Linked DNA regions of Daphnia pulex. The protein of the gene in region 2 interacts with the protein of the main gene of each other region in a pairwise test. Links are inferred from orthologs where the notes say so. Each region holds a gene or a part of one and is shown on either strand. Other genes may lie near its edges.

What was found.
Region 1: the proteins of histone-lysine N-methyltransferase EZH2-like (region 2) and histone deacetylase complex subunit SAP18-like interact in binary tests that used the Drosophila melanogaster proteins (3 or more experiments, as listed by UniProt). The link is inferred for Daphnia pulex from reciprocal best matches to the Drosophila melanogaster genes E(z) and Bin1.
Region 3: the proteins of histone-lysine N-methyltransferase EZH2-like (region 2) and histone deacetylase 1-like interact in binary tests that used the Drosophila melanogaster proteins (3 or more experiments, as listed by UniProt). The link is inferred for Daphnia pulex from reciprocal best matches to the Drosophila melanogaster genes E(z) and HDAC1.

What each region holds. Positions count from the first base shown.
Region 1 is NC_060018.1:4,701,613-4,711,328, forward strand, and holds histone deacetylase complex subunit SAP18-like, read right to left. Parts: upstream 5,648-9,716; 5' UTR 5,506-5,647; coding exon 5,422-5,505; intron 5,360-5,421; coding exon 5,253-5,359; intron 5,165-5,252; coding exon 5,074-5,164; intron 4,975-5,073; coding exon 4,780-4,974; 3' UTR 4,680-4,779; downstream 1-4,679. Other genes in the region: chloride intracellular channel exc-4-like, read right to left, coding at 2-176, 238-543, 2,043-2,105; uncharacterized protein LOC124210509, read left to right, coding at 2,577-3,514, 3,584-3,659, 3,723-3,914, 3,970-4,247, 4,309-4,657; protein toll-like, read left to right, coding at 6,780-9,529, 9,600-9,705. UniProt on the Drosophila melanogaster protein: Involved in the tethering of the SIN3 complex to core histone proteins. Interacts with bicoid (bcd) to repress transcription of bicoid target genes in the anterior tip of the embryo; a process known as retraction.
Region 2 is NC_060018.1:4,492,690-4,503,795, forward strand, and holds histone-lysine N-methyltransferase EZH2-like, read right to left. Parts: upstream 5,860-11,106; 5' UTR 5,510-5,859; exon of another isoform or gene 5,147-5,509; 5' UTR 4,946-5,146; coding exon 4,337-4,945; intron 4,172-4,336; exon of another isoform or gene 3,921-4,171; coding exon of another isoform or gene 3,879-3,920; intron 3,816-3,878; coding exon of another isoform or gene 3,813-3,815; coding exon 3,671-3,812; intron 3,600-3,670; coding exon 3,382-3,599; intron 3,319-3,381; coding exon 2,927-3,318; intron 2,867-2,926; coding exon 2,703-2,866; intron 2,588-2,702; coding exon 2,561-2,587; intron 2,470-2,560; coding exon 2,369-2,469; intron 2,312-2,368; coding exon 2,110-2,311; intron 2,050-2,109; coding exon 1,878-2,049; intron 1,814-1,877; coding exon 1,606-1,813; intron 1,529-1,605; coding exon 1,267-1,528; intron 1,202-1,266; coding exon 1,031-1,201; intron 969-1,030; coding exon 786-968; intron 722-785; coding exon 556-721; intron 490-555; coding exon 429-489; 3' UTR 152-428; downstream 1-151. Other genes in the region: ecdysone-inducible protein E75-like, read right to left, coding at 8,053-9,776, 9,846-10,020, 10,101-10,319, 10,990-11,106. UniProt on the Drosophila melanogaster protein: Polycomb group (PcG) protein. Catalytic subunit of the Esc/E(z) complex, which methylates 'Lys-9' and 'Lys-27' of histone H3, leading to transcriptional repression of the affected target gene.
Region 3 is NC_060024.1:1,146,346-1,157,334, forward strand, and holds histone deacetylase 1-like, read left to right. Parts: upstream 1-4,662; 5' UTR 4,663-4,802; coding exon 4,803-4,854; intron 4,855-5,347; coding exon 5,348-5,376; intron 5,377-5,441; coding exon 5,442-5,525; intron 5,526-5,586; coding exon 5,587-5,704; intron 5,705-5,768; coding exon 5,769-5,944; intron 5,945-6,016; coding exon 6,017-6,196; intron 6,197-6,254; coding exon 6,255-6,456; intron 6,457-6,512; coding exon 6,513-6,762; intron 6,763-6,819; coding exon 6,820-6,878; intron 6,879-6,960; coding exon 6,961-7,114; intron 7,115-7,178; coding exon 7,179-7,405; intron 7,406-7,464; coding exon 7,465-7,550; 3' UTR 7,551-7,732; downstream 7,733-10,989. Other genes in the region: ribosome biogenesis protein WDR12 homolog, read right to left, coding at 9,644-9,773, 9,832-9,964, 10,033-10,279, 10,364-10,449, 10,521-10,696, 10,766-10,906, 10,967-10,989. UniProt on the Drosophila melanogaster protein: Catalyzes the deacetylation of lysine residues on the N-terminal part of the core histones (H2A, H2B, H3 and H4).

The DNA.
Region 1 (9,716 bases), about 210 kb from region 2:
CCTGCTACTCGAATATGTTGCAAACGAGGCATTAATTCACAATCAAAGCAACAAAGAGTGTCTCCTGTTAGGAACCGGTTCCCCCGCTTACCCAAATGCTCATCAATTTTACTCAATTGAGACAAAAGGGCGTTCTTCGACGCTTCCTCTTTCTTCAGCAACATCAACTTGAATTTCTATTTAACACAAAATTTGATTTGATTTGTATCGATTTCAACATTAGGGGTAAAACCTTACGCTGTAAACGTTTTCAATACGGGTAGCTACGTCTTTATCTTGAACAAAGAGATTGTGACCGCCTGGAACATTTTTCATGATGTGTCGTTCAATCTTCTCATTCTCAAGGACAGCAAGTCCGTTATCTATCAAGATTGGTGGTGGTGTGGCTTCAAAGTTGGTTCGGAAGTCGGGTGGGGGCTTCAGCATATCAACCGTTGTTACTTTTAAGCTGATAGTTTTAAGTTCTGCCAGTAAATACAAGTCCATGAAATATTCCTGGCAAAACAAGCAAGCTCCTTTGCGGCGACCGTCTATTGTGGAGGCCTGTATGGTGTCATAAATAAACAAATTTAGTACAGTAGGACGGCTTTATGAATAGTGAAATGACAGTTGACGTCATCAGGACCTTTCAATATCACACTTATTTGTGTACATTTCTCATTTCTATTTGAGTATTTGTTTCCTATTTACATCTACCCCGGGAAATTCCACGAATAGCGCCTCGCCTCCACTTTGACTGCTACTTCCGGATAACATGACGCACTGCAATTGGCCAACTAAAAAAGTTGACCCACGCAATGTCACGAAGAGAATTCTTGTTCTGTACTGAATCACAATGACGAGTGCACATTTTATGCTAGGAATTCAGATATATACAGTAGGCGAACGACGATTATAGGGATTCGTCAGCTACAGAAGTAATACTGTGTTAACTTAGCGCAGGACTCATTAAATGAGGACACATGAGGGGAAAGACATGCCACTGACAAGTAAATGTTATCGGTCAGAAAAATAAAAACTAGGGTCTACGGAACTCGCTAAGTGCAATCAACCCCTGTTAGATATAACAAAGGTATTAGTTGCTATGAGAACCACACAAATCAACAACTAAATAATAATTTGGTTTGTGAATTTTAGAAGAACTTTTTTAACGTCCTAAACACACTGTCATAGCAAACAAAACTTTGATTTTATGAGCAAACAGTCAAGCCTATGCGAGGGTTGGTTGAACTGCATAACAAACAGCGCCCACGGCAGCAAGAATATGTAAAAATAGGCCATCCTCTATGAGGTCAGCATCACACACACACAACGTCAATGCAATCCACAAAGCGTCCCGTTTCCTTTTATTTTTTACTTCTATACAGCCCTCATCACATGGCAGGTGTAAAAAATTTTCTTTACTAGTACCGAAATGTTCCTATTTTCAAGCTGCAGAAAAATTACTGATCAAAATGCATCGTCAGGCTCTATGTTGTTGTTGTTACTTTAGGGCACAGGGGAGTGGAAAGGGGAAATGCTGTAGGTACCGGAAACCTAGTTTGACTAGAGGTCGAGAGCCAGTTGTAAATTCCTGGCTTTATATCGGTAATACCGAGGCCCTGCTTACGATCCTACAGCAAATATTTGTAAGAAACGAACCGTCTTTTACTACACAACATTGTACGCGCCCAACTAACATTTCGAAATGTTATGGCACCAACCAAAAGGATGATAAGAGAATACTCGCCTAATCTTCGACAAACGAAAAAACACGTACGTCAGAGAAGAGTTTTAGGTTTAGCACACAATAAGACTTATCAAATGTTGGGAACAACTTCTTTCCTTGTTTGACGAAATTCACAACAATTTTGGGAGACAATCCTGACAAATTGCTGTTGTGACAGTAACATAGCAGGCAAATCCACCCAAGAACATATCACGGAATGTTTGCACGATTTGGGCGTGAAGCTTGCTGGCCTAATGCCGAAATTATTTGGGACGCGACTTGGTTACTATACAGTGAGATTCGCGTCATTCAATCAGTTTACACCATTACTCACTTTGATGATGAGCTCGATTTCGGGGATGTCTCCTTGGCTATTCCCGTTGGCGCTGTCGGACATTTTAATGAAGGTAAATGTGGGCGTCGAGAATGAACAGACTTGTCAACAAATAAGTAAACGGTCGACGGGCAATGGGCAACTGACGTCTGGTTTTTTCTAACGTCCAACTCTATTCACGCCCTGACAGGAATACATAAAGAGAGAACTGGCAATGTTGTATTATTTTGTAATCGAGTTTTCTTTAAGAATCGATTACCTTTTGAATATTTCAACATTTTTCACTGTTAATTTTTGGTCACTTGAGTGCTCCTAATTAATATAAGAATAAGTACTTCTTTACACAAGAAACTTTTTTCGACTGTAATGATTATTCTAAAATACCGTTGTAAAAAGCTAGAATCATAACGCTATCACTGGCAGCTGGCAACTTTGTCCTGTTTACAATTTTGAAATACACAATCGTCGTCTGAATTTCTCTTTGTGATTTGTAATTGCAATAGTTAGTCTTAGTTGAAGTAGTTTTATTACGGAATGGATATAATTTCGAAACATTACGAAGAAGGCCACTACCGAAAGTGTATAACAATTTTGTCTGATTTACCAACTCACTCACTATTTGAGAAATGTGTGGTGGAGAATAATGTTTTAGTATCCAAATTTCAAACATCTTTCGTGCCAGGAGATGATTTGCTTAGAAAAACTGTTTCCGAGGAGCTTTTTCAATTGCAGGCTAAGCTGTTAGCACTTCCACATGAAAAAGAGTATACCTTTTTGACTTTATGTTGCACTACCAATGCTATTTATTCACTGCTGAATTATCAATGTTGTGAAGAAAATGGTGTCAAAGCAGTCCAGATTGGAAATGGGGCTTTTGAAAAAGTGCTTTGCAACCATCAAATATTCTACTATCAAGAACAACACTCAATTGTTGACAAATTTATTGGCTTGGTGCATCAATTACTTCAGTGTAAAAAGCTCAAGTCAGATGAGCTTTCACTTCTACTGTACTGCTGTATACTCACTTGTTTAATCAAACTTGATCTAAGGTTTGTTGAACTGGTTAAGAGCGTTCTAGATATTTTAGAATGCAGCCTAAAGAATGAATCACCAGATGTAAACTCTACTCACATATTTCTGCTTTCTCCACTTGAAATGTCACTACAATCTACTGGAAGTTACTGTTCAATCATTTGTGATTTTTCAAGACTTTTTCTTTCCATGTTTTACTGTACCAACTTGTCTTGGTCTGAAGCACTTGCAGTCAAAAGTCCACAAAACACAAAAATGTCTGAAATTTTTGAAATTTTTAAAATGTATGCAAGTCTTCACTTAGCTAATCCTTCAAGTGATGAGAAGATTGAAGAATATTTCAACGAAAGGAATAGTTATCTATACTTCGCTAGGTGTCTAATCAACGCAGCAAAATTTGCTTTACTAAAGAAACCAGTCATTGCATTAAAGTATTTAAAGTAATGCTACTTGATGATACTGATTTTCAATGTGCAAAATTAATAAAGTAATTGTCGTTTGAATTGTAGTTTTGCTGGAGCAGGAGAATTAGCCCAAACGCAAGCCTGTTCAATCGTGATGGCTTACGCTGCCACTCAATTTAAAGTATGTCAAACCTGTATCTGCAACCAACTAAAAATTTACTAGTTTTTAATTATTTAACTTTAGGTTTTGGATCAAACCAATTTCGAAATTGAAGCATTGAAAATAGCAGAGGAATCATTACTAAAAAGCCCAGTTTTTCAATGTTCCATTCATACTGAACTTCCTGGATTTCTTCTTGGACAGATGAAATTATTCAGCCTTCCTGAAGTATCAGTCTTGAGATACCAATTGGCTCGAATTTTTCTGAAAAACCAAGTAACGATATAATATTATCTTGAATTTAAAAAAACTTACCAACGAAAAATCTTAGCGATATCAAGAAGCCGCAGAAGAATATGAAAAGCTGTCATCTGAGACTCACTTCCAACCTAAATCGGAACCTTTTTCTTCAGTTTTCAAGCTTGTTTCTCCATCTGAAACTATTGTTTTACACGAGCGTATCCTGGCGCTCGTTTTGTCAAATAGCTACCAGAAAGCTTTGGATGCGATTGATTCATCCCTAGAAGAAGATTTGTTTACCTTGTACCTTCATGCTCAAATCTGCGCACATTTCAAGCAATACAAGAAAGCTATCCAGCTCATCAATAGGTATTATAATTAGTTCATGAATATAAAGCGTAACTATTAAAAACCAAACGTTATTTTCTAGATCAATTTTGCAACTGAATTCTATAACCTTTGCTGTGAGTGGAACGAAAGATGTGATCAGATCCCAATTATGTTTTAAACTGTCGCAATTATTCGATGAAATTGGAAATTTGAAAGACGCACATCACCAACTAAGGCTGTCCTTTCAATATGGCATTTCTATGAATTGTCAAATGCTAGAATTCTATCATAAATTTACATGTAAACTGGGAGCACAAAAAGAAATTCCAATTCCGTCTGATTCTCATCAAGAGCAAGAGGAACTGATTGCGACAATTCTGGAACATTCGGATGACTTAACCCTTAATTACTTAATACGGGATTCTTATGCAGCGTTTAGCCTTCCATAAAAAAATGCAACTGAGAAATACATTTTCTATGTGAAAATTTTTTACTGTCAATTATGAAAATGACTTGGAAAAATTGCTGGAAAAAAAAAACAAGAATGCCGTGTCGATAAACAAAAAAAAAGTTAGTATGGCCTGAATCTCCTGTTGCTTTGATTATTCATATTTCTGCTGGGTGGAGTGATGGCGATGTCAATATAGTCTCCAATGGTAAAACGGCACTGTTTGAGGGTCTTCATATCATCTGGCCCGCGTTCTCCTGAGATTGTGGAACCTATTTCACGTCGAGACATGCTTAGTGTGCTTCGGTCGGGGAATACCTAAGCAGACAGAAGAAAAGAATGATGTATAATGATGAACTAACAAACAAACACAGCAGTTCCTCTTTACTTTAAAGTACTGTATGAACTAGAATGTACCTGAGCAAAGGAAAAGCGTGTTCCACGGCGTCTGGCTTCATAATTAACTTCTCTCACCAATCCAGTAATTTCTTGAAGAGTGGCATCCATCCTATAAATGCAAAATGCAAAATTTCATGAATTCTACGATTACACATAACTTTAGCCGTAAATATCACTTTTTCTTGGGATTTCCTTACCATGTATAAATTTGAAGCTCACTTGCTGGCACACTACCTCTTGCATAATCACCAAGACTATGGTGTCTTCCCATGGCACAGAAAACACGAAGTAACAATGGGCATGTCTGCAAAGAAAACTCAGTTCAGTCATATTTTAGATTAGAAAATGCAAAAAATGTTAGTCTACCTTTTCTCTGTCAACAGATTTTTCAGTTTCTCTATTTTCTTCTACTCGAACGGCCACAGCAGATTCTACAGTTCCCGTAGCCATTCTGTATGGTTTTAACTTCAAATTACTTTTCACAAGGTTCTTGAATAGTTTTAATGATTGAGTTAGAAGAGCCGGGAGAAACAAGATTATTCTGTTTCATGGACGCGAACAACTTCTGATGAGACAGCGCCTCAACCGGCTGATAGTGGCAATTTGTAATTTTGCCACATTGCCATCATGTGAATAATGTCTGCGGAGTGCGGGACGGCCAGGCGGGCCAGCGATCGAAAATGAATTACGGCCTTACCAGAGCAATAGATCCCTGGTCGGTTCACGGCTGTGTTGGCTTCCCCATCTCGATTTTAGGGTAAACGTAAGCCGATTTTCAGGGGGTTTTAGGGCGGGGCCTGTCAGAATTGTGAAGTGGAAACTTTAAAAAGAGCCATCTAGGCTCTCAAAAGTAGCTGGACGTTGTAGCTGACACACTCACTAGAGGCGCTTTTTAAAGTTTCCAAATCGGCTTACGTTTACCCTAAAATCGAGATGGGGAAGCCAACACAGCCGTGAACCGACCAGGGATCTATTGCTCTGGCCTTGCCTTACGCATTTCTTATTTAATGTAATAGTCCGCATCTACGCGTACTAAATACTAACCACTTCAAATAATTAGCTGCAATTTAATTGAAGAGAAGATTGGATTGGTGTTTATTTTTAATTTCAAACTAAGGATTAATCATTCAGAATTCGAATCACAATCGGAACTTTTAATCATGTTTTAATTAGAGAAAACTATGTTTTAACATTAATAACGTATGGCATTCTATCAACGGAGAAGTCTTTTCAAGCAAATATGTTGTCTAAAAATTATGTTTTTCATTTCGTTCTGAGTTGTGAAAGCTTAACCACATTTTAACTTTCCCTCGGCTCTGTTTACGTGCAATAAATTCATAATACGAAAGGAAATACATTGCAAGGCCTGTTTGATCGGGGTATCACGTAATGTCACAATCTACGGATATCAGAGAGAGACATCTATGGCTGAAAACATCGTGAAACTTCGTTCACGTTCATTGTGATTCATGCTGGGTAAATAGAATCTAAACAATCTAGAATATAGGTGGCAGGCGCGAACAATGATCACAATAGACTGCAACCCCCCTTGCCAACTCAGGCCTTTGCTCACTTTGTGATGTTGCTATGTTAGAAAGTTCGTAGAATCGGGAAATGGGAACGTCACATTGTAAACGTCAAGGTCATGAATCTCGTATCGCCTGTTGAGTGTTGACTAATGAAATACGTTTACTCTTAAAGAAAAAGTATGTAACAGTTTAGAAATGTCCTACCGTTTTGTGTTGTGTTGTGTTCTCTTTCAAACCATTGTTGTCAGTCAAGAACTAAGTGCTGCTATCGACCAGCATCCAGAAAGTTTTTGGAAATGTTCTCAACGTGAAAATCCTGAATGTCAATGCTTTCCGAAGACAAATGGCGATTTCAACTTACAATGTTCAGTTGGTGAGGGTTCTATTTCAGCAGATTATAAAGCTCTTAAAGACAATGGTGACAGTTCATTTGAAATTCAGTGTTCATGTGATGAAACAAACCTTCTCACAGAATCTGTTTACAAATATGTTAAAGGAATTCCAACTAGCAATATTTCATTTCTGAAATTCAATTTCTGTCCGCTTCCAAAGGATAGTTTGTCCACATTCTTAGGGAGGCATATGAATCTCAGCTTCATTCAGAGAATTGCACTTCGTTCATGCTCTCCTGTTCAAACTCTTCATCATGATTCATTTCGGAACATGCCACAACTTGAAATTCTAAATTTACAGAACAATCAACTTGAAAATTTTCCAGATGATTTATTCGATGATCAATTAAACTTGAAGACACTTTGGCTAGACAGTAACAAACTTCAAAAAATAAGTGGCAAAATATTCAAAAATATTCCTCAACTAATTTCCCTACAATTGGGCTCAAATGTAATAAAACAATTAGAAATCGGTGCCTTCAGTAATCTCCCAAACTTGTTTCAATTGAACCTCCAAAACAATCAACTTGATATACTTCCTTCTGATGTTCTACAATCCCTGGCAAATTTAAAATATCTAGATCTGAGTAATAATAAGCTAACAAGTTTGGACAAGGATGCTTTCCAGTTCAACACACAATTGATTGAACTTTTTTTGCGAAATAACTCGCTAGAAGTACTGCCAGAAGGAGTATTCCGTAATAACAAAATGCTGGAAAAGATATCTTTACAATTAAACACCAAGCTCTCTACTGTTCATCGTGGTGTCTTCGAAAATCTAGAGTCTTTGATAGTCCTAGATTTGAGTTATTGTTCCTTCAACCAGTCGTCTTTCAACAAACATGCTTTTTCAAATTTAACCAAACTTGCCAAACTTAATCTGTCACGAAATAAGCTAAATGGATTGCATTCAGATTGGTTCATTGGACTTACCAATTTGACCGATTTGGATTTGTCGTGGAATTCGATTTCAAGCATCGAGGATAATATGTTTAGTAACTTGGGACTTTTGAGTACTCTCAAGCTCAATGGAAATACCCTTGTTCTAATTGAAGCCAACGTTTTCCGAGGCATTCGAGCCTTGAAAAGCCTATATCTTGAAGATAATCAAATTGAAGTTATTCAACCAGCAGCCATGGAATATTTGAAAGAATTAACTACTATTAATTTAGCACGCAATCGCCTGAAATTCGATGAAGGTCTTGTCAGTCCTCTCGACGGCTGGAGACAATCTCCGCTACAGTACAACTTAAAATTAGAATTAATCGATCTGTCTGAAAACCAAATCGCTGATCTATATTCCGACTGGGGTTTGATGAAATCGTTGACTCGCCTCATCTTGAGCCACAATCAAATGACAAGTTTTGCCATCTCCGACATATCAAGATTATCTCCGACACGAGACTTTATTTTGGATCTTCGTAACAATCAAATCACACAAGTATATTTCCAATCGGCCGAAGAAGTTGACGGACGATCGGATGATGGAAAAACTGAAGATCCTATCGCGAAAAAGATAGTGTTTCTTGATGATAATCCCCTGTTATGCGATTGTGGTGCATACTTTATGGCACAGTACATGAACCGATCAATGCCGGCCGTAAGGCATTCTTGGAAGATAATCGCACCCAAGCTAACCTGTGAGCAGCCAGCCTCACTTTCCGGCATCGCGCCTACTGAAGTTAATCCTTCTCAGTTTCTTTGCAATTGCCCTGCACACCCTGAAAATAATTGGCCCTGCGAATGTTACCTACGACCAGTGGATAGAACAGTGTTGTTTAACTGTCAACACAAGAACCTAAAGGAAATCCCTACTCGCTTACCCCAACTTGCCGGCTACAAGGTTCAAATGAATCTTTCGTCCAATTCGATTAATATCGGACAAGTGAACCCAAACTCGTTAAACTGTTGCACAGATGTGACCACGCTAGACTTGAGCAGAAACGGAATGGAGTCTTCAGTGTTTGATACTCTCAATTGGGCTCCAAATCTACTCCTCCGTTTCCCTAGTCTCAATCGACTAGACCTTACTTATAACAATTTCAATTCGATTCCTAATGGAGTTATTGATGCGTGGAATGGAACGCGCAATTTAACTTACAGTTTAAGTGGAAACCCTTGGAGATGCGACTGTACAAACCTGGCGCTACTGAAATTCATATATGGTTCATGGAAACGCGTGGAAGATTTCAACCAGATGAGGTGTGATAACGGACTATTTATTTCTGAATTGTCTGTTGAAAAATTATGCCCTTCGCTGAATGCCGTGTCGAAATATTTGACTGTAGCGATGCCAGTTTTAGCTTTGCTGGTATTTTGTATATGCACGATATTTTACCGTTCTCGACGAGTAATACGTGCCTGGCTTTACAACCACCAATTTTGCTTATGGTGCGTTGTTCAAGAAGAAGAAGAAAATGACGATCGAATTTATGACGCTTTTATCAGCTTCTCTCACAATGACGAGAAATTTGTCGATGAGCTTGTGGCCCAACTGGAGCGACCTCCAGTTGGTTTGCCCAATTACCAACTTTGTCTTCATCATCGCGATTGGTAAATAAAATTTTTCATTATGTTTTATTAATAACCCAATGCGTTAAACGCAAAATTATAAATATTACAGGTTGGCAGGTGAATGGATTCCTGATCAAATTGTTCGCTCGGTGGCTTCTTCTAAAAGAACGGTTGTAATCTTGACCGAAAATTTCTTGGACAGTTTTTGGGGAAAGGTAAACACACC
Region 2 (11,106 bases):
AACTGATAATAATTTTGAAGGGTGGGATAAATGTGATCTACGGTATTAAATAATACGAACAGAAACGTAGAATAAAATTCTTCAAACTCGCAACAAAATGACTTAGTCAATTCGTGTCAACCCAATAAAAACAATTCGGAAATCAATACAATGATTATGAACATAGTTTATTTTTATTAACCAGAGTGCTCGTCGGTGATTAAAGCACCGGCCGCGAGTAACGTGAAAAAGAAATCTTCACTTTAAACTTATTTACGATAAAATCGAATCACTACATTACACAGGCATGATATAACACCACGATTTACAAAAGCACAAAAAGAGTTATAATTAATCTAGTCGCGGTCCTTTTTATTCATAAGCTAAAATGTACTGGACCTGATGAACCACGTAAAGGCTTAGAACCACGCACTGCTCGAACAACATTTCTACAGGAATTCCCCTTCTCTTTCAATGCCAACAAATTTCAGTTGCTCTGTTGGGCCGTATCTAAAAACGAGGAAAACAAATTGTTTTAGACCACGTATTCTTATTGATGAACAAAGCAATTCTAACCTGTAATCAAAGAACAGCTCTTCGCCAGAGTGAATAAACCTTTTAGCGAATATACCGATTCTGTGGTCACCGTTCACCATCATGACTTTGGCATAACAGTTTGGGTTGATCGAATGATTAGCAAAGCGAATCTTGTTACCCTTTCTGGTGGCGTCAACCACAAAGTCTGAAACGAGACAAGCAAAATGAGTGTGAAGGTCGAGAGATTGAGGCATCAGAAGCTTACGCACCATTGTTAAGATTGAACAAAAAGGAGCACATATATTTGTCGTAAACTTTTCCTCGTCTATCAGCCTCGTCCTGGGAGATTATTTCACCACAGTATTCGGAAATGAATTCATTCTTCTGTACTGTTTCTTTCAAAAATATTCCCCAACCGGCAACATCGGAAGGGGCCATAAGCAGATGCTTGCCTGTAAACCACAACAGCACAGATTTAGAATAAAACGATTTAAATCACTTAGATCAGACGTACGTAATCCACGTTGAACGCTGACATTCTTGCAAGTGATTTTGGAAACATCATGATGATCCGCACCGCATGTCCCACATAAATCAGGATCGCATTCGCGAACGGCCAAGAAACAGGGGCACTGTTTGGTATTGCATTGAGCTTTGCATCGACAACCAGGAAATCGATTTTGACCTGATAGAGAAATTTAGTACTTAGTCATTAAACCGTTAATAGATAATAGAGATGTTTAAACTTACAGTCGGAACTGCACTGACAGAATTTCTCACAAAAATTTTGCGCATTAACGCAAGGGCAGGTGGAATCACAAGGCTGGCCAGGGTGATCGCAAGGCGTAAAATTATGAACGTGATTCGATGAGGCATCTTTTTTTAGCTGGATCTTTCGGCAGTGAACGGACCAGAGTCGTAGTTTCTTTTTCTTCTTCCGCGGTGGGGTGGCTTCTTTCTCGGTCTCCAGGGTTGGCAGATCAGCGGCTTCTTGTTGAGCAAACCGATACACCTGGCACAGTAATAAAAATGCGATCAAGTATTATACTGCCAGCAATGACTCGTAACTCAATTATCTATGCAACCCACCTGTTTACAAGTCTTGCTGAGGATAGTCTGCGCAATAGCACAGTAATTATTAAGGAAAATGGGATGTACTACTCGGAAGAGAGTTTGTTCCGATGGTGTCCACACAGTTTGCATGTCGGGGTCGATGTCTTTTAACGGATTCAACTCATGGGCAGGTGGAGCTTGCGCAAGGGGCGTGCTGGTACCGGATTCATTGGACTTGCTCTCCCTTCATGTAGAGTGTAACAAATAATGCATATTCCTTTAGTTGGAATTTGTTTATGCGGTAATACCTCGAAGGTCCAGGTTTTTCATTTAGGCTATTCTTGCGTTCAGGTACCAAACTCGAAGAACTATTCGAATTTTCATTGGACGTGAGTGGCGTTGAATCTTTACTGGGCTCGCTCACTTTAGGAGCAACAGATTCCGGTGGAGTCTGACTTTCCACGACGACCTCCATTGCACCTGCAAACAACGACAAAACAGTTAACATCGGCCACAAGTAGAGCACGTTTTAAATTTTACATTCGATTTCTTTGTCGTCTTTAACAGATTCCGGCGGATTTTGGTTATCCCCGTTCCCATTTTTGACGCTACTGTCGTTGCTATCTTCGGATGAAGCTTCATTACCCGAATCTAGCGAAACCGTTTTTCGGATTTTAAGAGGCTGCCCATCGGCTTCGTCACCTTCTTGCGCTGCTTGTGCTAATCTCTCTAACAGACCTTCCTGTAATAATGAATTTGAATAAAGACTGCTGTTAAACGTATAAGATCGGTATCTTACCAAGTACATGTAGCATTGCGGCCCACAAGGCTGTTTGGGAAGTTTGAGATCATTGCATTTTCTCTTTTGACTGTTGGGACCAGGATGATATGATTGTAGACCTATAATTAAAAACAGGTCAGTCATTTCTCTCTCACGACAAGTTAAAAAAAAAAAGACAAACTAAAAGTGGTGAAACAAACAGCAATTTACCTCGACGAGGCACCGCTCCTTGAGTTTCTTTAGAGAAGAAGATAGCGTCGGAAAGTTGAGTGAGAATTAAGTAAAGAAAACGTGTAAAGAAACGTTCAAATCTAATGAAGGATATTACTTGTAACGAAGCAGGCAAACTTACGATGAAGAAAACAGTCGTATTTAAAACATCGGCGACAAAACAGGGTGTGAAATGAGTGCATGGCTTGCTCCCTCTGGACGGAGGGAGCCTTCGGGCCGTCAATATTTGGAGTGCACTCGCTACCCAGAGCGACAGGATCAGCTCGTTCCGTCAATTCCATGTACCTGTATGAAAAGATGTTGTTTTATTATCATTACTTTGTATTTTTGTTTATCTGGATATACCTTTCTCTCAATTCTTCTGGGGTTCCTTTGTCTAGGAAGACAGAGGCGATTGCTTGAAAAGCAATGATGTTGGGTAGATCCTTCGCTACGGGCTGGACAGAGTCCTTGGGTGGTTTGTCTTTGATACTTGTCATGGCATCACGTGCTGCTTCGTCCAGCTTCTCAGCTTTGACGGATTTCGAACCCAAATCAGACCTTTCATCTTCATCACAATAGGGGACTAAGGCAGTGACTAGTTCCACAAAGATATCGTCATCGATGACGCCCCCTTCGCGATCTCCGTGAACTTTTCCATCGTAGTTCTTGATCAATTCTTCTATAAACGTACCATCCTGGTCCAACACTTCATCACCCATGTAAGGGATGTTGTGTAGAACTGTTTCATCCTCCACCTGTAGATGTGTATATGCTAGTTTCCATAAAAACAATAGGAAAAGAACATTTCAGTTTCATACCATAAAGTTCTGTTGGAGACCAGCCCATGAATACATGGTGGGGACAGGTGCTACTGCATTGATGATCTTAACAGGTACTGCTTTCTGATCGGTGTTGACACCCAGGCAGTGGTCAGGTTTGACTTTCTTCATGCACTGACTGTGCGCTGGCCAATCTTGGCTGCATGCCCAGAATGCTTTGCTCACTTCCCATTTCTTTTGGTTGGCAGCCACCCTCTCTGTGTATAAGGATTAAGGAAGATTTATTACACATGTGTTCTACCTCAAACTTTGAAAATGCCATGTATACCATTAACGTTCTTTCTGTTTTCGGACCATACAGCACGAATCTCATCAGCTCGTTTATACCTCCGAGACTGGCGAATTCGCATATACTCGGATCTCACACGCCGTTTCCATTCGGCCGAAATCTTGTACTTGGGTGCTTCATTCTGTGGAGATAAACAAGATGTTAAATTTGTATGAAACGGATGTCTAAGGAAACCAGATCACGTTACGGGAATAGCAAAATCAGGTGTATCGGTGGTCACGTTTTCCATCAATAACAATTATAAAATAACATAAAATGGGGGGATTCGTCAACACTTGTTTCCCAACTGTCACGCGTGAAGATAGTTGACAGCTGGAACAACATTGCCACTTTCCGGTGAACGATATACGGCCGAAATAACGACAGATCGTCGGTGAACATTCTTTATTACCAATCTCCGTCCAAATTACTAGTTATCACACCATTTTGTCGTAAAATAACGAGAGCCGGATGACTATTTGTCTGACAACAAAAATTCAAATGGCAACCCCGCTTCGAAAGGGAAGTGAAAAAGAAATTTCCCACGAAATAGCGCGGGATTTCTTTGTTCCCAAAAGAAAAAAATGCCCCGCGTTAATGATGTAAAAATAGGTAATATGATTCCATCAGCAACCAAAACATCAAACCGTTTTCCAATCAACGTACCTGATTATTAGGTGGCGAATCTGGAACACATTGTGGCGAATCAGTAGTAGTTGACGGTTGCACTGTAACGTTGGTGGGTTTGATATCCTCTTCATTGGCCTTGGATTTCCTTCGGATGACCATGTTATTGTTGGTCGGAGGTTTCTGAGATCTGAGTGCCACTTTGCCCTTGTTGGCATTTCGTGTTAACGTGTGAGTAGTTGATCCTTGAGCTGCACGCGTGGCCATTTTTGAGGCGAGAGAAGCTGCTCCTCTGAGACTGCCTGGCTGGACAGACGAAGAAGTAGCCGGTCGCTGATGAACCGCAACCGTCTGCTGCTGAGTGACTGTTGGCGTCTGCTGATGATCCGACGACTGGCGGTGGCGTCCCGATTTGGCAGAGGCGCCGCCGTTTTGGATGTTGTTGTGCGGCTGCGAGCAAATGTGACTGCCGCACGACGATTTCAATTTTCCGTCTTCCACCACGGCGTTGGCCCGACACCAACGATAGAAACACCGCCAATAAACCGTATTGCCTGAGCGTCGATTGATTCGATACTTGCATCCATCAATGACCAGTGCAACACCACCCAACCGATTCTCCATAAATTTCACTTCTTGGGGCGCCATGATGCGGCCAAACAACAACAACAACAACGAAAAACAAAACAATTTCGTTTGGCCGACACTTTTTTGAAACAAAACAAAATAAATTTTGTTCGTGAAGCTCAAGTGTAGGAAATAAACAATTTCGACACTGTCATTTTTGCCGTTGAAAAATTCTTGGCAGCAGCTCACAAACTTGCCAACTCGACGATGTACCTCGACAACCTGGCGACCAAACGGAGAAATGAAGAGCAACGAAAAAAAACACAACAAGTTGACGGGCACAAGATTAGAACTCGACAAGTAGAATAGACAACAAGTTTCTTATAACACACTCTATCCCCCTAGTCGTTTTTCGACTATGCACGCCATTTCAACATACACACGCCAACCAAGGAAGAAAAGATATTTTAAAAGAAGCCTTAGGGATTGGGCTGCTGCTGTTGTACGGGTGGTGGTGGGTTGTAATTTTCGACCCCCTCAAGGAAAAGGAAGGGGAGGAGTGGAAAGAAGAGAAAGGATACATACGGAGAAATTGGGGAGTTGTAGGAGAATGAGTTAGTTATTATACGACCTTCAAAAACCTACCCACACAGCCGTTTGGTGTGTGTGTGTTGTAGACGTGTCACCCTGGGCAGCAGACGGATCTCTCAACAACACGAGTTGCGTTTCTCCAAAGATGTGAGCGTGAGAAATGGCCGCTGCTGCTGCACCGCCCGTTTTCCTTCCTTTGGCATTTCCTCTCTCCGTAGATTGTGTGCGTCTTGCAAGTTATTTTACCGCGCCTTTTTGCTTGTAGTTTATTAACTGACTCTCTCTAGTCAGATAAGATAACCGGGTCTTGAACAAAAACGCACGAGTCCAGTGGAAAAATAATATAGCTGGTGGTGGCCAGGAAAGATTTTCTAAACCGTACAGACTGGACGACCGTTTGGTTGTAACTAACTACCCAGATGGAACTGGGGTGAAAAGTCGAGACACGTGCCGTTTTTATTTTTGTAATCGGGGGGAATTTTTCAAATGAATAGTAACATGTATAACTTTATTTGACATTGAATAGGTGCTGCTGCTCCTACGTGTACATCAATAGAGTCCTAGTTTTTTCGTACCATTCCATCGAGAGATTTTTGGACCGGGAAACAAATTTAGTTGTGCAAAAGTGATCAATGTGGGTTAAGGTTGTTTTGGTTGAGGCTTTCGATTAACACCTTTTATTGCGATTGATTTTGTGTGTCACGAAAACCCAAGTACCTTATCGTTGTTGTTGCTCCAACGACAGCCATCTAGCGGTCAAATTTGAAACTTTTATTTTTGAAATTTCGAAAATAACCGTTGACCGTTTGTTGGAATGTATACCGACGATGGGTGTATAATAGAATTCATTTTGTAAATAAAAATAAATGAAACAAAAACTCGATTTGACATTCTTGCATAATTGTAATGTCTAGATTGCGCACGTGAAATGCGCTACATTAACCGGTCATTAGAGAACACACGGCACGTACAGTTTTGAAATTTTTTCCGCAGATACACACACATTACACAGGCATTCCGTTATAGAATTATATATGGAGGGTAGGGAGGATGACAATTTCTTTCGATCAACAGAAAAAGAATTTGCAAATAGAAAACCGAAACACGCAACAATTGAAAAACAGAATTTTGAAAGTAAACGACAGAGAGAGAAAATCACTTTTGTTTCCATAATTCCCACAGAAAAACACAAAAACCGAAATAAAAAAGTACAGAAATTCCGAGTGCATTGCAACTCATGGACACAAGTTACAATTTAGAAAAAGGGAAACTTGACAAAAGAAAAAAGTTTTATCCATCACTCGGTTTTTGTTTTTTTGCCCTCCCCTCAACCAATCCGAAAAAGAGACCCCCGAAATGTTGACAGAAACACAAAAATTGACACACTATTAGATTTTTTTGTTGTAATAATATATATATATATATATATATAATATATATAAAGATAGGGGGTGTAAAACATACGAAGAAAAAGGTGTGTCTTCCACTGGGATAAAACAATCATCAATACGATTGCCACACTCACACACGGTAAACATGGAAGGAGCTCCTGCCCAAATGTTTTCAAACCCTTCCATCACTCTCTCTCACTCTGTCGTTCACAGGAAATGGGTTGTCCGTCGTAAAAATCACAAAAGCATACGAAATTGTTTTCTTTTTTTTTTTGTTTTTGTTTGTTTAAGGGGACAAATTTAAAATTATGAAACGAAAAAAGAAAAAATCATGTCGAGATCGACCGTCACATGCTCGTACGGGAGTTGTACGGGAAATTAATTTTTAAATGAAAAAAAAAATTGAAAATATTTTAAACAAATTTTTTTAGGTCGAGCAGGTGTGACGACAAACGATACACGGACAATTTCTTGATAGAGGGCTTCTCTCTAAATTTTTACGAAGAAGGAAATAACCTCGTCGAAATAGTGGGCGATTTAATTTAACAAACATTCTCTTTCCTTGTTGTCGGGATTCAAAATAAAAAATACAGCACAGAGAAAATGCGTCTTGGACGCCACCGGCTAAACACAGCAAATGAAAAAATAATGTTCCCGCAAAGAAAGTTTTTGAAAAATTTAAAAGAAATGCGCGCGCGCCAATTTCGAAATGGGACTGTTTAACAGCGAGGCAAATTCCGCGATTCGAGTTTTTTTTTTGTTTTTCCTTTCAATTTGAACGAGGAAAATGGATCATATCATGTAGAACATCAAACTCAAGTGTATATACTATGTATATATATATATATAAGATTCGGTCGGGAGTGTGGGGGGGGGGATAGATAATTATATAAAGACCGAGTAGAATAATCGACACTGATGCTGGTGATAACGAAGAACTAGTTTACAGTTTCTTATTCTGTACAAGAATTTTTTTTTTTAAAGGGTGTTGGTTGTTTGCTGCTGTTGTTGTTGTTGTAGTTGTTGAAAGGGATCGAATCAAAAACACGGCTGACGATGCAACCAAAAAATGGGATCCTCTTACGCTTAATAGTTGCCCCATCACCCCCATGCCTCCTCCTCCTCACCCCATCCAACACACACACACACACACACATACACACACAATCCACAGGTACGGTGAGAGAAACTCTTCGTCAATCATTTTTAGGCGTGAAGGGGGAAATAGTGAGTGTTGTTGTGTTGCGTGACTGGCGTCGTTGGCCTGGCCGGCGACGACGAGGGCGACTTGAGCGACAAATTCAACGGTTGTGAATCGCCTCCAACTGAAGAAACCGATTCCGGCTGTTGTTGCTGTTGTTGTTGTTGTTGCGGAATTCGGCTGCTGCTGGGACTTGGGCTAGAGTGGTGATGTGGAGGAGACACTGGCGACGACCTCTGGTGGTGGTGGTAATTCCAGCTAGATGGCGAAGATGAGCCGGCGTAAAGTGGACCGGAAGTCAAAACGGTTCTTTGTTGTTGTTGTTGTCCGTTACTGCTGCTGCTGCTGCTGGAAAGGGGTGACAGACAATAGTTTTGGCTGGACGATGAAGGTGTGGGCGATGAGCCCGTCACGTTGCCCTTCATAATGTTGGCGACGATGAGATCGGCGCGGCGCTGCTGTTCGGTGCTGACCATTTTGGGACCTTCCATCAGGGAACGGGCCAGGGTCGAGTGGGTCGACGTCAGCGAACTGACGACGCCCGAAGACAACGAAGACGCCAGCAACGAAGACGACGACGTCGACGGAGGTGACGTCAAGGCACTGCACAGGGCAGAGTACGTGCCCGGAGGGGAACTGAGAGCCGCAGACAAGACGCTCACGGTCGACGTAGACGATGAAGAGGAAGAGGTCGGCGAGCTGCGAGGAGGCGAGCTAACGGCCGGCACTCGCATCGGCGATTCTTCGCCTTTGCTTCCGGCGCAACGCGTCAGAGCCCGGAATTTCTTGTGCGGTTTGTACGCCTCGTCCATCAGAGAGTTGGTGTCGAAAAGAGGCGGAGCCTGAAGGACTCGCTTCAAGACGGGCATGTCGTCGACGCTCGACTGGCCTACACGGCCACCGGCCGATGGAGCCGCATGATGATGATGATGGTGGTGATGATGTTGCATCTCATCCACTTCCTTGACTTTGTCTTCCAGTGAAGAGCGCGGTGATGAGCAAAGGGACGTGTTGGTCGACCGGGAAGCCGTCGACATTTTCTCGTAGCGATCCACACCCGATTCGATTCCGGAATCATCCGGAGAATCCAATTTGCGCATCTTTGAATAAGGGCAGCTGCTGCCAGCATTGCTTCCGGCTCCAGCGCTGTGGGTCCGCGGAGGCGATTCAACCATCCTCATCAGAGAACGGCCGGTGGAATCCATTTCTTCACCGTCGCTCGACATGGAAGATGATCCGTTCTCGGACGGGCCGCGAAGTCGGCGTCGGTGTGAGCCGCCAGACATGAGCGGCACAGCGCTTCCGGCAACAGCGGCCAATAGCGGCAAATCGCTCATCGACGAGGTGCCTTCGACGCCGGAGCAAATCGATTCAGCGCCGCTGCTGGACACGGATCCCATCGGACTCTTGGCGCCACCTTCTTCGTCGTAGCTGTCCCTGTCATTGTGCCAAGGACTGGCAGTCGGGGGAGGAGTCTGCTGCTGCGCATGATGATTATAATGTTGTTGTTGTTGTTGCTGCTGTTGTTGTTGTTGCTCAGTCATCTTGAAGGCCAGCAATTTTTCAGAGTGAAGGGTGTTGAGCGTGCGCAGGTCGGGAATCTTGCGCAACAATTCCAAAAAGAGTCCAGCCTTGTCAGGATGGGCTTGATTCAAAACATTCTCCAAGACGGATCGCAATTTCGATTGCATCCGCTCCACCAATTCCACATTCCTCAATCCGGGTCGATCTGAAGAATTTCAATTTCATCTCATTAATTCAATGTCGCAAATTAACATTTTAGTTTAAAGAAACTTACCGGCAGCGATGACGACAACGGCGCAAAAGAGACCCAATTCAGAGTCATTAAGTGCCAGGCTGTTGAGTCTCTCGGCAAATTCAAACATGGAATCCATTAAAAATCGGGCGTTGGACGAATTGTGAAGGGCGTCCCTTCTTAGTAGTTGGCCGTTCAAGCACAGCATGGTGTTGCTCTGTAATGAAAACAATTTAAATCAAAATGAATATCAAACATTTCCCAGTCGAATTTTCTTTTCGTTTTCTTCTTATTTACCTGTGAGTCAAACATGGCGGCCAATCGAACGAGAAGTACTTCAAAGACTCCGGGTTTCAAGAGCGTGACTTTATCGTCTTCGGCCAATAGGGTGAAGCCGGGCAAACGTTTGGCGAATTCCACCACATCGCGGATGGCCGGAAGGAAGCGCTCGGAGAAATCCTGCAGCAATTGCTGTTGGCCGTTGGAAGGCGCTGGCGTCGGATTCAACGGGCAAGCCTGTGGAATAACAACACAGAAAAAACCGTTAGACACCCAATCATGAAAAAACGCAATTATATGATATTTATTCCCCCGGACAAAAACAGCTGCGCACACACGCACGCACGCGGAGGATTATTATCGGGATGTCGAAAAAGATTCGTCCTTGAGGGGGGGAGAGCGGCCATTTTTTATTATTTTTTCGGTGGAAACAAACAAATGGCCCAGCACTGGCAAACATGGCACGCGGCATATGTTTGACCTTGGTATATAATACAGCTGCAGTGCCTTCCCGTTTGTCTTTCCGCTTCGTCAACATTCACGCCAAAGTTGCGTGAATTTTTCCATTTCAACCTCCAACTCACCCCACTCGGGACAGTTGGAATTTCAAATTGTTGTTGACGTCAACACAATTTTACTTTTTCAAGGTCTATGACGAAATATCCCAATCACTTTGGAAACTTTGAGTTGGTAAACAGAAAAATGGCTCCCGCCCGCCCAACCTTGAACAGAACGTTCGAAAAAATTCTCTCATGGTCACGACCCAAGGTCGGGACTTTTAACGCCCTTCCCTTCACCTTATCCGTCACCCACCGGTTAGTCAGACAGTGGCCGTCAGGAAATTGGCATCAAGGGCAGGACATTTATGCAATGCAAAATTCGATGATGAAAGATCGGCTACACTTACCAAAGTGGGTGGGCAGGCCGTGTAGTTGGGCTGGCGATGGGCATCGGCCATCAAAATTTGGACTTTTTCGCGGGTGAAATCGCACGTCTCCATGTGGGCACGGACGACAGATTGCAT
Region 3 (10,989 bases), on a different chromosome or scaffold from region 2:
CATCACACTTTTCGACAAAGCCAGTCGGGAGTACCAATTTCACAAACACGATGAGAATTTTTCAATCCGCAAACAAGATGAATTGAAATGTCCAGCCTGCGCTTGTGATTGCTGTGGGGACCCATTACATGTTGCAGAAAATCCGCTAGCCACAGAAAATTGAACAGTCTTTCACAAAAAGCAGTCAGTCCTAGATGGAAATTTTATACTTCCACGATTGGCTTCGGCCAGCGATGGGTACGTGTTGGATATAATTTTACTGTTTAAGGAGATAAGTGAAATTAATTTACCCACATTTTCTATCAATACAGAGACGGGCAGACTCTTTTGGGAGGTAAATTGATTGTCCAAAATGAATTGTTGACAATCATATTTCTAATATTGATGCTCAATATAGACCGGTATAATAATTGCTACTAATTTTTAAATAAAACGACACTTGTTGTTGAATCACTGAGGTCTATAAGCTTATGTTGCATAGGGAACTAACAGAACTCCATGGTAGTTTCTTTAATGCTGCCAAAGAAGTAACAAAGAAAAAGAAGAATGATAAAGAAACTGGTCTTCTCATTTCTTTTTGCCGTCATTTCGTTGTGCTCCTGGCTGCAAACATATTTTGCGGTGAATCTTACTGTCATGTTCATTTCTTGCACAATGAACTATACAAATTAGGTTACACCGTATTTTTTTACGATGTTTTCTGTTTATACTGGAATTGGGCCAAGAAAATTGGAAACTTAAAAGTAACAGCATTTGACAGATAAAATGATATCATTTCTTCCCCGTTGGCAAGGATTTGCCATGTTTGGCACTGCTAAGTAAATATTTCTACTTTTTAAAATTTATTATTTTACCAATTCATGTTAGATGCAGAATATTGGTCACGCCAGAGAAGGTGTTGGGGCAACTATTGGAGAAGAGATGGAACAAGGTAATGGTACGGTATCCCGATATGGAAATAAAGTAAAGCATATGACGGAAGAAAGTAATTTTCGTGACTTTTGTATAGAGAATAGAACGTATTAATTTGTCTATTTTCTTTCTTAGATAGGAATTACACGCTGACTTCTGGTTTGCTGTAAATGAACAGCGAGAGATTTCTCATAATGCCAAAATTTTTTGATGTCGGACATTTCGGCACTTTTTTCGGCACTTTTATTTTGCCCGTTTCGGCCCCTGTTAACTCCAATAGTATCCGTTTCGGATCTAAATCTTCCCGTTTCGGCACCGTTTTCTTGGATCCTTCAAACCAATCAGATTTGAACCGTATTCTGTAATGATTTTACTCAATTAGCTACAATTTGATTGATTTGATTTTCCTACAATTAGTGAAACTTGAATAGAATTGTGAGTAAGGAGAAGAAGCTTTTTTAAATCTCTAGTTGCTGATTTGACTAGAAGTGATAAAATGTATTAGCATTTATGCTACTGCTACTACAGCAGTTCTATATTCTGTGCGGCACTGCAGGTTGAAAAAAAATGAAATAAAGCTGATGCATAATGTAAGAAAGGAATAAGGAGAGAAAGAAAAACATACAAAATACTGAAACGTAAGCTTCAAATACTATGGCACGCACATGACAATTCTGAGATTTATACGGCCAAGCTCTTAACTGAATGCGCTTATATGTATACAAAAATGAACACAACTAGGTATACAAAAAATATAGGTGATGATAGAGAGTGTGAACTGGAGGCTGAATAGATTTGTACAACAATACATTGATTTATTGAGACTCGAGGCTGTATTTTAATTGTGAGAATCTCATTTTTTCTTTAGGCGTATTGTTTATAATACCCAATGCTACACGATGGAATGCATGGTATGATGCTGTTCGCCACGTAAATAAGATTGCCAAAAAATGGAAAAAAAAAGACTTGAAAGTTGTGACTACTTGAAAGTTCCCTGCCTGACAGCTACAGATTACTTTATTCATTAATGATTATGTTACTGTGATGCAGCCCATTGCATTTGGATTGGACATTCTACAGGGAGAGAAGGATGTTACTTCCGGAAACCTACTACCTTCCATAGTAGATATTGGGAATAGTTTGAATAATCTCAAGAATCGAGATGAAAACTCTAGCCATCCCCCTATTAGTATTTCACTCCCATTAGTTGATGCCTTGTTAGAAAGATTGAAAAAAAGATTTGACATCTTTCTTAGGCAAGAGAATTTTCAGTTGTCGGCTCACTACACCCAAAATTTAAATTGATTTGGTTAGGGACAAGCGAAAAAGATACCAAACTGAAGAAACAAATCATCAGCAAGATTGAAATCCATCTAACATATTTAGACGTCTCTGATTCTACTAAGGCAACAACCCCTGATGACCCTACTGATATTTATTCTGGGTTAATGTAAAATAGCAAGGGGAATTCTATTTTCCAACAAAAAGAAGGTTGAGCTCACTCGGTTTCTTGAAGCTAAGCCAATATACAATCTTTTCTTGATTACTTCCAAAATATAAAAAACTTGTTTTGGAAATTTAATGATAGCATTGCATCTTACGCTGTAACGGAAAGATTTTTTTCTTTGTTTGGGCGTGTGTTAACTTCTACTAGAACACTTCTTAGTGATACGATTTTAATTTTCTTGTTTTTCTTAAGTCAAATATCTGTCCTTTTTCTACAATAACTTAAATTAAATAAGTCATAATAATTGGGCATCATCTGGCAAACCGACCCCTTCAAAATCCGTTTCCCCTTGTCGAGAAAAACCACCGCAAGGGGATTTCGAACAAAGACTAGAGGGGAACCCTCCCCTTGGATCGGTTTTGGATTCGAAGGGGTGGGGAAACGACTTGAAATGACCGCTGAAATGTAGGAATTGATTCAAAAGCGGATTGACTTTGAATCAATACAAATGTCTTTCATGCAACAATAAAATAAAGAAACGCGTAGTCCCATGAGGCCCGTATGATGCTGGGGCGACGGGTTTTTTGGGGGAGCAGAAGCATGACAGAAGTAGGTGCGTGGTTGGTCTCAGCAGGCCCGTGGTTAGGGTATAGGGGGACAACACTTACCAGGACGCAGCCAAACAGACGAATTTCCCGTAGGGATTCTGTAGGGGAGACCGGACCCATGTTGGACACTGTTCCAAGTTGGACAGTGTCTTAAAATATAGTAAAAATTGCTTTAAAATTCTAGATTTCACATTGTTCTAGATGTGATGATGCTAGATCCTGTGTAGTTTAATTAATTTCCCGAGAGTAGAACGGGAGTTATAGGAGGAAGAAAAAACACGATAAATTATTGCAAAATTTTTCGCCCGAATTATTGATCTTGCTCCAAGTTTGTTTGAGTAAAAAAATTTTTAAACAAATGTTTTTAAATTATTTATTATTGGAAGAACTATCATACAAGGTTTTTAAAATAATTTAAAGACATTAATTTCCACCTTTTCGAACCCCGTCTAACTTGGTACAGGCCCCTGTCTAATTTCACCCCGGCTCGGTAAAAAACACCGAAAAATGGAAATCAATGTAAATTCTTAAATTTTAAAGTTACACATTTTAAAAAAATCAAGGGGGTGGAGGCAAGGCTAAAAAATGACCTTAGCCAAAAAAAAATTCTTTTGCCTAAGGGGATCGGGAGATATGCGGGAAAAACCGCGACTGTCCAAGAGGGGTCCGGTCTCCCCTACAGGTTTTTTGGCATACGGGAGGATTAGTTCCAATTTCGCCAATAGATGGCTTCGATTACTTTTTCGACAGTAGATGGTGGGTCGGTCGAATTTCACCAATTTTAACTGCGCGCGTTGAAACTGGCATCTAGGCTCTAGCGACTAAAAGTAAACTGTCATCTGCCTCTTTCTCTTCTTCTTCTAGATTTTTTTATATCTTCCCGTCCATCGATGACTGGAAAGAGATTCAGCTCTTTTCAGACCGACCAGGAAAGAATAACATCTGTAATAGCCTACATCAGCCAAAAATTTTTATTTTTATTTTTTGTCCGCTTGGCGCAACCTAAGACTGGTGGCTTTTTCAAATCTTATTTAGAAAAGAAACCAAAACGAAGATTTCGACATTTTTCCCCCTGCCCCTTCTCGGAAGACGAATTCGACTGCGCTGCTCCTTCCGGCGAGCCCATCTCCTTATCTCTGAAAACGTCTAACGGAGTTGATAGATCGTTAGATCTCCAGCTTAATGGCTCTGGTTTCTAGTTCCATACTCCTTAGTCCCTAACCTAATCCCTAATTTCTAAATTTATTATTTACTAGAATATGTTTATTTCAAATACCTTCGTATTTGGAAATTGATAATATAAGATTTAAAAAATATAACTGCGTAATTTTTTCATTTTGAAAATCACTTGTTTCGTGTGGGTTTTCCAAAAAAATCAAATTCCAATATATTTATTAAACATTATGTTTCCCAGAAGGGTTCCGACTTCTGAAAACTGATTATTACATATTCAATCCTATCAACAACATTCATGGAAAAATTGCTTCTTGCAATTAGTTTGACGTGATACTTTACCTTGACTCCTCCACCAGGGCAACAGATAATTATCCATTACTCTGCCTCCACTTATTATCATCATTTTTATAGTTTTGTAAGGACTCGACTCGAATCGAAGGAGATTCGAGATTTTTTGAGAGCTGGCAAATATGTTTCCTCAAATTCGCGTTTGAGGCTTTGGGCTATCGTAGTTAGTTTGTAGATTTGGCAACACTGTAAATGTAAGCATTCGCATTCGACGCAGCGAAAGCAATTGATGCTGGTGTCTTTTCTTTTCAGTGTAACTGTCGAAAAGTAAAAATAATTTTAATAAAGAATTGTGATTTTCAATTTCGAAAATGACTACTCAACCAAGTCACAGCAGAAAGCGAGTTTGCTACTATTATGACAGTAAGTTAGAAAAATAATTGTATCATGTATAATTAACGTTTCATGTCGCGTGTTTGACTGCCGGCGTCCTTTTTTAAATTAATTATTTCAGTGGTCATATTCTATTTATTTTATAAATTCCCAAAGATACTTGATTTTTGCTAAATTTATATACCTATCTATTGTGACATTTTGATGTACAAAATTTATGTGGAAGTAACAATATTTGGCAAGTGGGACGTCATTTATGCACAGTAGTATCACAAAGAATTATAGATGTTTGAAGACTGAAGAGCACATAGTATTAAAAAAGAAAGATATGTGGCTATATTATCATTTAAATTGGGTTTTATTTTTGAATTGCTTCAAAATTTTATTAAGATTTTCATGTCAAATTTGTCGATGAGGTTGTCGGGGGTATAATTGACGTCCTACTTGGTGGGTGGGTTGGCATTTTTATGGTGACTTTTCATTTTAACTCTTAAATTTGTAATTCCTTTTTTTATTAACCTAGGTGACATCGGGAATTTTTATTATGGACAGGTAATAATATTGAACACATTTATGTTAATGAAACTGTAATTAATAATAAATTTTTGAAATTGAAGGGACATCCCATGAAACCTCATCGCATACGCATGACCCACAACTTGCTCTTGAATTATGGGCTATACCGTAAAATGGAAATCTATGTAAAAATTCAAGAAGCTAGATGATAATTGCCACAGTTTAATTGAATTTATTTTTTGTTAGCGACCACACAAAGCCACAGCTGAAGAAATGACCAAGTTCCACAGTGATGATTACATTCGATTTCTTCGAAGCATCAGACCTGACAATATGACAGAATACAATAAACAGATGCAGAGATGTAAGATGTGTTTACAATTTGATCAATTTGAAATTGTGAATTAATTTATTTGTTTGTTTTTTAGTTAATGTGGGTGAAGACTGTCCTGTTTTTGATGGGCTCTACGAATTTTGTCAATTATCTGCTGGAGGTTCTGTAGCTGGAGCTGTGAAGCTCAACAAGCAAGCAACTGAGATAGCTGTGAACTGGGCTGGGGGATTACATCATGCCAAAAAGTCTGAGGCATCAGGATTCTGCTATGTAAATGAATAACTTAATAACAGTTTTTGGATATAACTTACTAACTAATGTTCATCTCTTTCCATATTTTAGGTAAATGACATAGTGTTGGCAATTTTAGAGCTTCTGAAATACCACCAACGTGTTTTGTATATTGACATTGATATTCATCATGGTGATGGAGTGGAAGAAGCCTTTTACACTACTGATCGTGTAATGACTGTTTCATTTCACAAATATGGAGAATATTTTCCTGGAACTGGAGATCTCAGAGTAAGAAGTTTTGAACTAAATTTTGAATAAGAAACTGTTATTTATCCTTTTGTTGTAGGACATTGGTGCAGGCAAAGGAAAATATTATGCCGTAAATTTCCCCCTGAGAGATGGAATAGATGATGAAAGCTATGAGCAAATCTTCGTACCTATCATGTCAAAAGTGATGGAAACTTATCAGCCGAGTGCAGTGGTTCTCCAATGCGGTGCCGATAGTTTGTCTGGTGATCGTTTGGGATGCTTTAATCTTACTTTGAAAGGTATGTGTTCGGAACTATTGTTTTTAGTATACATGTTATTATCAAGTTGTCTTTAGGTCACGCAAAATGTGTTGATTTTGTTAAGAAACATAATCTGCCTTTACTGCTGCTTGGAGGTGGTGGTTACACTATTCGAAATGTTGCCCGTTGTTGGACTTACGAGACCGCAGTGGCACTGGGAAATGACATTGCAAATGAACTCCCTTACAACGATTATTTTGAATATTTTGGTCCCGATTTTAAATTGCACATTAGTCCGTCTAACATGGCAAATCAAAATACTCCGGAATATTTAGATAAAATCAAGTAAGTTTTTAGTGTTTTATTCAAAGAATTATATGTTGAGTGACATGTTTTTCTTAGAACTCGTCTTTTCGAAAACCTCCGCATGTTACCTCATGCTCCTGGAGTCCAAATGCAAGGTACTTGCATTAAATTTAATTCTTCAATTGTATTTATTATTTCATTGCATTGCGTTTAACTGATCCAAAATTATTCTGACAGCAATTCCCGAGGATGCCATTAACGAAGATTCCGACGAAGAAGATAAATCTAATCCCGATGAACGTATATCTATACGAGCATCAGATAAAAGGATTGCACCAGACAATGAATACAGTGATTCCGAAGATGAAGGGGATTCCCGCCGAGATCAAAGGTCTGAATTCATTAATAAATCGTGCAATTTTTCATTTTTTCAATCATTATTCTCTACTATATAGATCATTTAAAGGAGCAAATCGCAAAAGACCAAGAACCGAAACAGCTGAGGGTGCTGCAGAGGTCAAAAAGGAAGAAAAGGAGGACAAAGAAGTGAATGGCGAGAATAAGGAAGGTACTTCAAAAGAGACTGTAAAGGATTCGGACAAGAAAAATGAGACAACACTGAAGTCTAGTGGTGAATCTTCTAGTGAAGGTAGTGCTTTGTCCATGGCGAATGAAATAAAAGGTTAGTGTTCACGTAATCGTGGTTATCTCAGATTTCTTACCAATTATATGTATTTTCAGAACCCGAAGAAGATAAATCTACATCGCATGAATTAAGCTCCCCTGTTCCGGTTTGCGCCGATAGCAGTAAAGGAGAAAAAGTTTGAAAATACCAATTAGGGTTTTATTTCATTTTCGCTAATTTTACACTGATGGTGATTCTTCGAGATTCATTCACATCCAATTTTCTACGTGTATCTTAATTAGAATGTAAACTCCGGCTCCTATCACCAACTGCATACCCTCAATCGGGTTCTCAGTCTTCAATACATTTTTACTAAGTTTTTCATTTTAGTTTGGTCTTTTTTCTACATCCTAAGATACGCACTTCACTTATGTTGAGTGCATACTTTAAAACTGGAATACTGATTCAACAACATGTAGCGTAACAGAAGCTTTAATAGGCAAGAAGCGTTTATTTTTAAGAATGATTTTGTAGGGAGAATCAGCGATCAGTAAGCCCAACCTAGTTGGTGGAACGTTGGAATACCGTAGGAAAAGTTTGAGGTTTTACTAGGATTAAGGTTGAAGTTAATAAATATTAAATACTTGAATTGGGATAGTGCATATTTTAATTTCAAAACTATGATAAATTTTACTATTCTGGTGTTAGGTTACATAGGTTAGATTACATATGTTAGGTTACAGTACTAGTCACTAGTATTGTTATCTAGTTATCTTATTTCTTAAATCATTATGTTTTTATAGGCCTCAATAATATAAAAAAATAATTCTAAAGGTTTCATCGATATGGATAACCGATAAGTTAAGGCAACTGGTGGTACCTCTAGTGCTTCGTTATTGTTTCAGTCACGGCTCCCAGTTATTAATTTGCAAATTATATTGTGATAATTTTTAAGTTCGTCGGTTTCGTAAAAAGTGGTTTTTAAAGTGGTGATTAAAAGTCCAACTGAACGGAAAGTAATGTATGTGAACGTGTTATATGAATTGCTTTCGTGTTTGTTGCGTTTAAACCGCGTGGTTTCCTGAGTTTTGATTTCCTCTTCTAGGTCAAGTTCGTTCATCCGATTTCTCCAGTACTTAATCCAATCTGGCATGAAGTCATTTTACAAAGATTCTTTCGATTGAGTACCTTGAGATCAATGTCTTTTCCAAAAAGATTTCCAATCAGCGGCATAAAGAGGGTTAGCCTCTGACCGTTGCTCCTTGAACTGCCGCACACAATCCAGCAGTCTCTCTTCCGGTAATTCCGGACACTATTTAGTTCGTAGCTGTGGTATAGGTTTCCAGCGCATCGAGCATCCCCAAGTGTTTTTGGATCTTCTCGGTGAAACGGGAGAAAGAAATCCGAAGTTGAATTTCAGATTTACTTCTGTTTTAGTTATATCAGAATATAATTTGGCATTTGTTCGGCAATTTTGCAATCGGCGAGTGCTGGTCTCAACGGAACTGCACTAAATAAGGCATTCCAATTTGTATCTGAACACGATGATTGGTAAAATAAACGGCAATACTTAACATGACAATCATTATTACCTTGAAGCGTATCTAAATCCTGATTTTCAGTTGGAATATTGTGAAACTCGTGGAATTCATGCAGCTGGATGTGTCTTACTCGTTCATTTCTTTTTTATTTCTTCCGTCACCCTTACTCCCTATACTTGGATACTTGTCAGCTTGAACACCATGTTCCCGCTTTTAAGCTCCTGTTGAACTCATCGATAAAATACTTGGTTAGCTGATACCTTTTGCTGGAAATCTCGAACATACGACTCATGACTCTGAGAATACGAATTCTGCTGGTAAAACTAATACCTAAAACTATGACTACACAATTCTCCAGACCGCGTTGTTAAGCTTGCCCCCTTGCAGCTAGTAGATTGCGTCGTTGAAACTTGGAAGTGCACACCTATCCAGCTGAAGCAGAATGTATCAAGCGCTGTGACTGGTTAATATGCAATCCAATTAATTTTGTATCACTTAAAAAAATGGGTAGGAAAAAATGTATAGGATTAAAACTAGACTTAGTCCATTCGAAAAATACAGAAGAAAAAAATATTACTCGAGGCTATATTATAGCTAGTACGACGTTGCCTTGTCGGCGGTACGCGTCACTGGACTACTGACTACTCTATACACCATGTCTATACTTCGTTTTAAAGTTAACTAACGGCCAAAATAGACTAATTCATTCCAGTTTCCAAAAATTTGTTTATCTCAACTTGGTGGCAATTTTAATTTATACTTCAGATTTAAAGATCTTTAACGTATTATCCGTTGCACCACTTATTATTATCGAAGGATTTGACCAGTCAGCGCACAGGATCTTGCCTTCATGTCCCGTCATGTCGTATAACGGAGCCTTGGGACTGAAAAGAAAAATTATTTCTCATTGAATTAACACGCAATTAATTATCAAATACTTGCCTCCTACTATCCCACAACTTTAAAATGTTATCATGGCCACCGGATACGAATAATCTTTCATGTGTCGTAGACCAACAAACCGTTGATACCCATCCAACGTGTGAAGTGAATGTGGCTTTCACAATTGACCCCTCTGTCAAAAAAAAAAATTGGAAATCATTAATGAGCCTATTAAAATGGTATAAAGCGCAACAGATGTACCTTGAGATCGGGCATCATACAAACGTATATGACGATCAGCTGAAGCAGTGATAAGAGTTTGGTTTAATGGAGAACGAGAAATGCAGAAGAAGGATTTGTTCCCAACAATTTCGGATTTTAATCCTCCTAATTCAGCATCCCACAATTTGATGGTGTGATCCCAGGAAGAACTAAAGATTTCATTGTTTTCAGTCCAAACAACAGAAGATATAGCTTCCTTGTGGCCAGGCAAAGTCATCAATGGTGTCTGTATTAAATAATGATTGAAATTAGTCTGTTCTAGCTTGACTGAAGGTATAAAATGTTGCGACACTTCATACAAAACACTTACACGTCTGAGTGATTTTCCAGAACCAGTAGAGCATCCTTTTTCCTTTTCACCATCATCAATTTCGTTTGTTGAATTTGAATCAGATGCTTAAAAAAAGAAGAATTCATTAAATTTAAACAGACACCTGAATACATTAATTAGAATATGTTACACTTACTGGCAGACCAAATTTTAAGCATATTATCCCAACCACCAGTAGCAAGGAAGGATGAATTCTTATCAACATCTACACATTCAATGGAGCGCTCATGTCCTCTTCCAATATGCACACATTCAATTGCATAAGTTTCAAGGTTCATTTTCCACAGCATAACTGTCTGATCATGAGAAACACTAAAAAAAAAAACAATAATTTTTTTTTTTTAAAGCTGATTATCACTAATTCAAAGAAACTAAAAATACCTTGCAAAAGTAGCAGTTGAGCCAGTCACTTCAATCCATCGTACTCCTTTGATGGGGCCACAGTGCCCTGGAATAGTTGACTTATGAGTACCATCAGTCTTCCATATATGCAAGGTATTATCATAACACCCTGTCAGGATCCTGAAATAACTAGCATTGTACATACACATTTTAAGACAACTAAAGATATGAGTGTAATACCAGTCTTTAAAACAGTGGGAAGC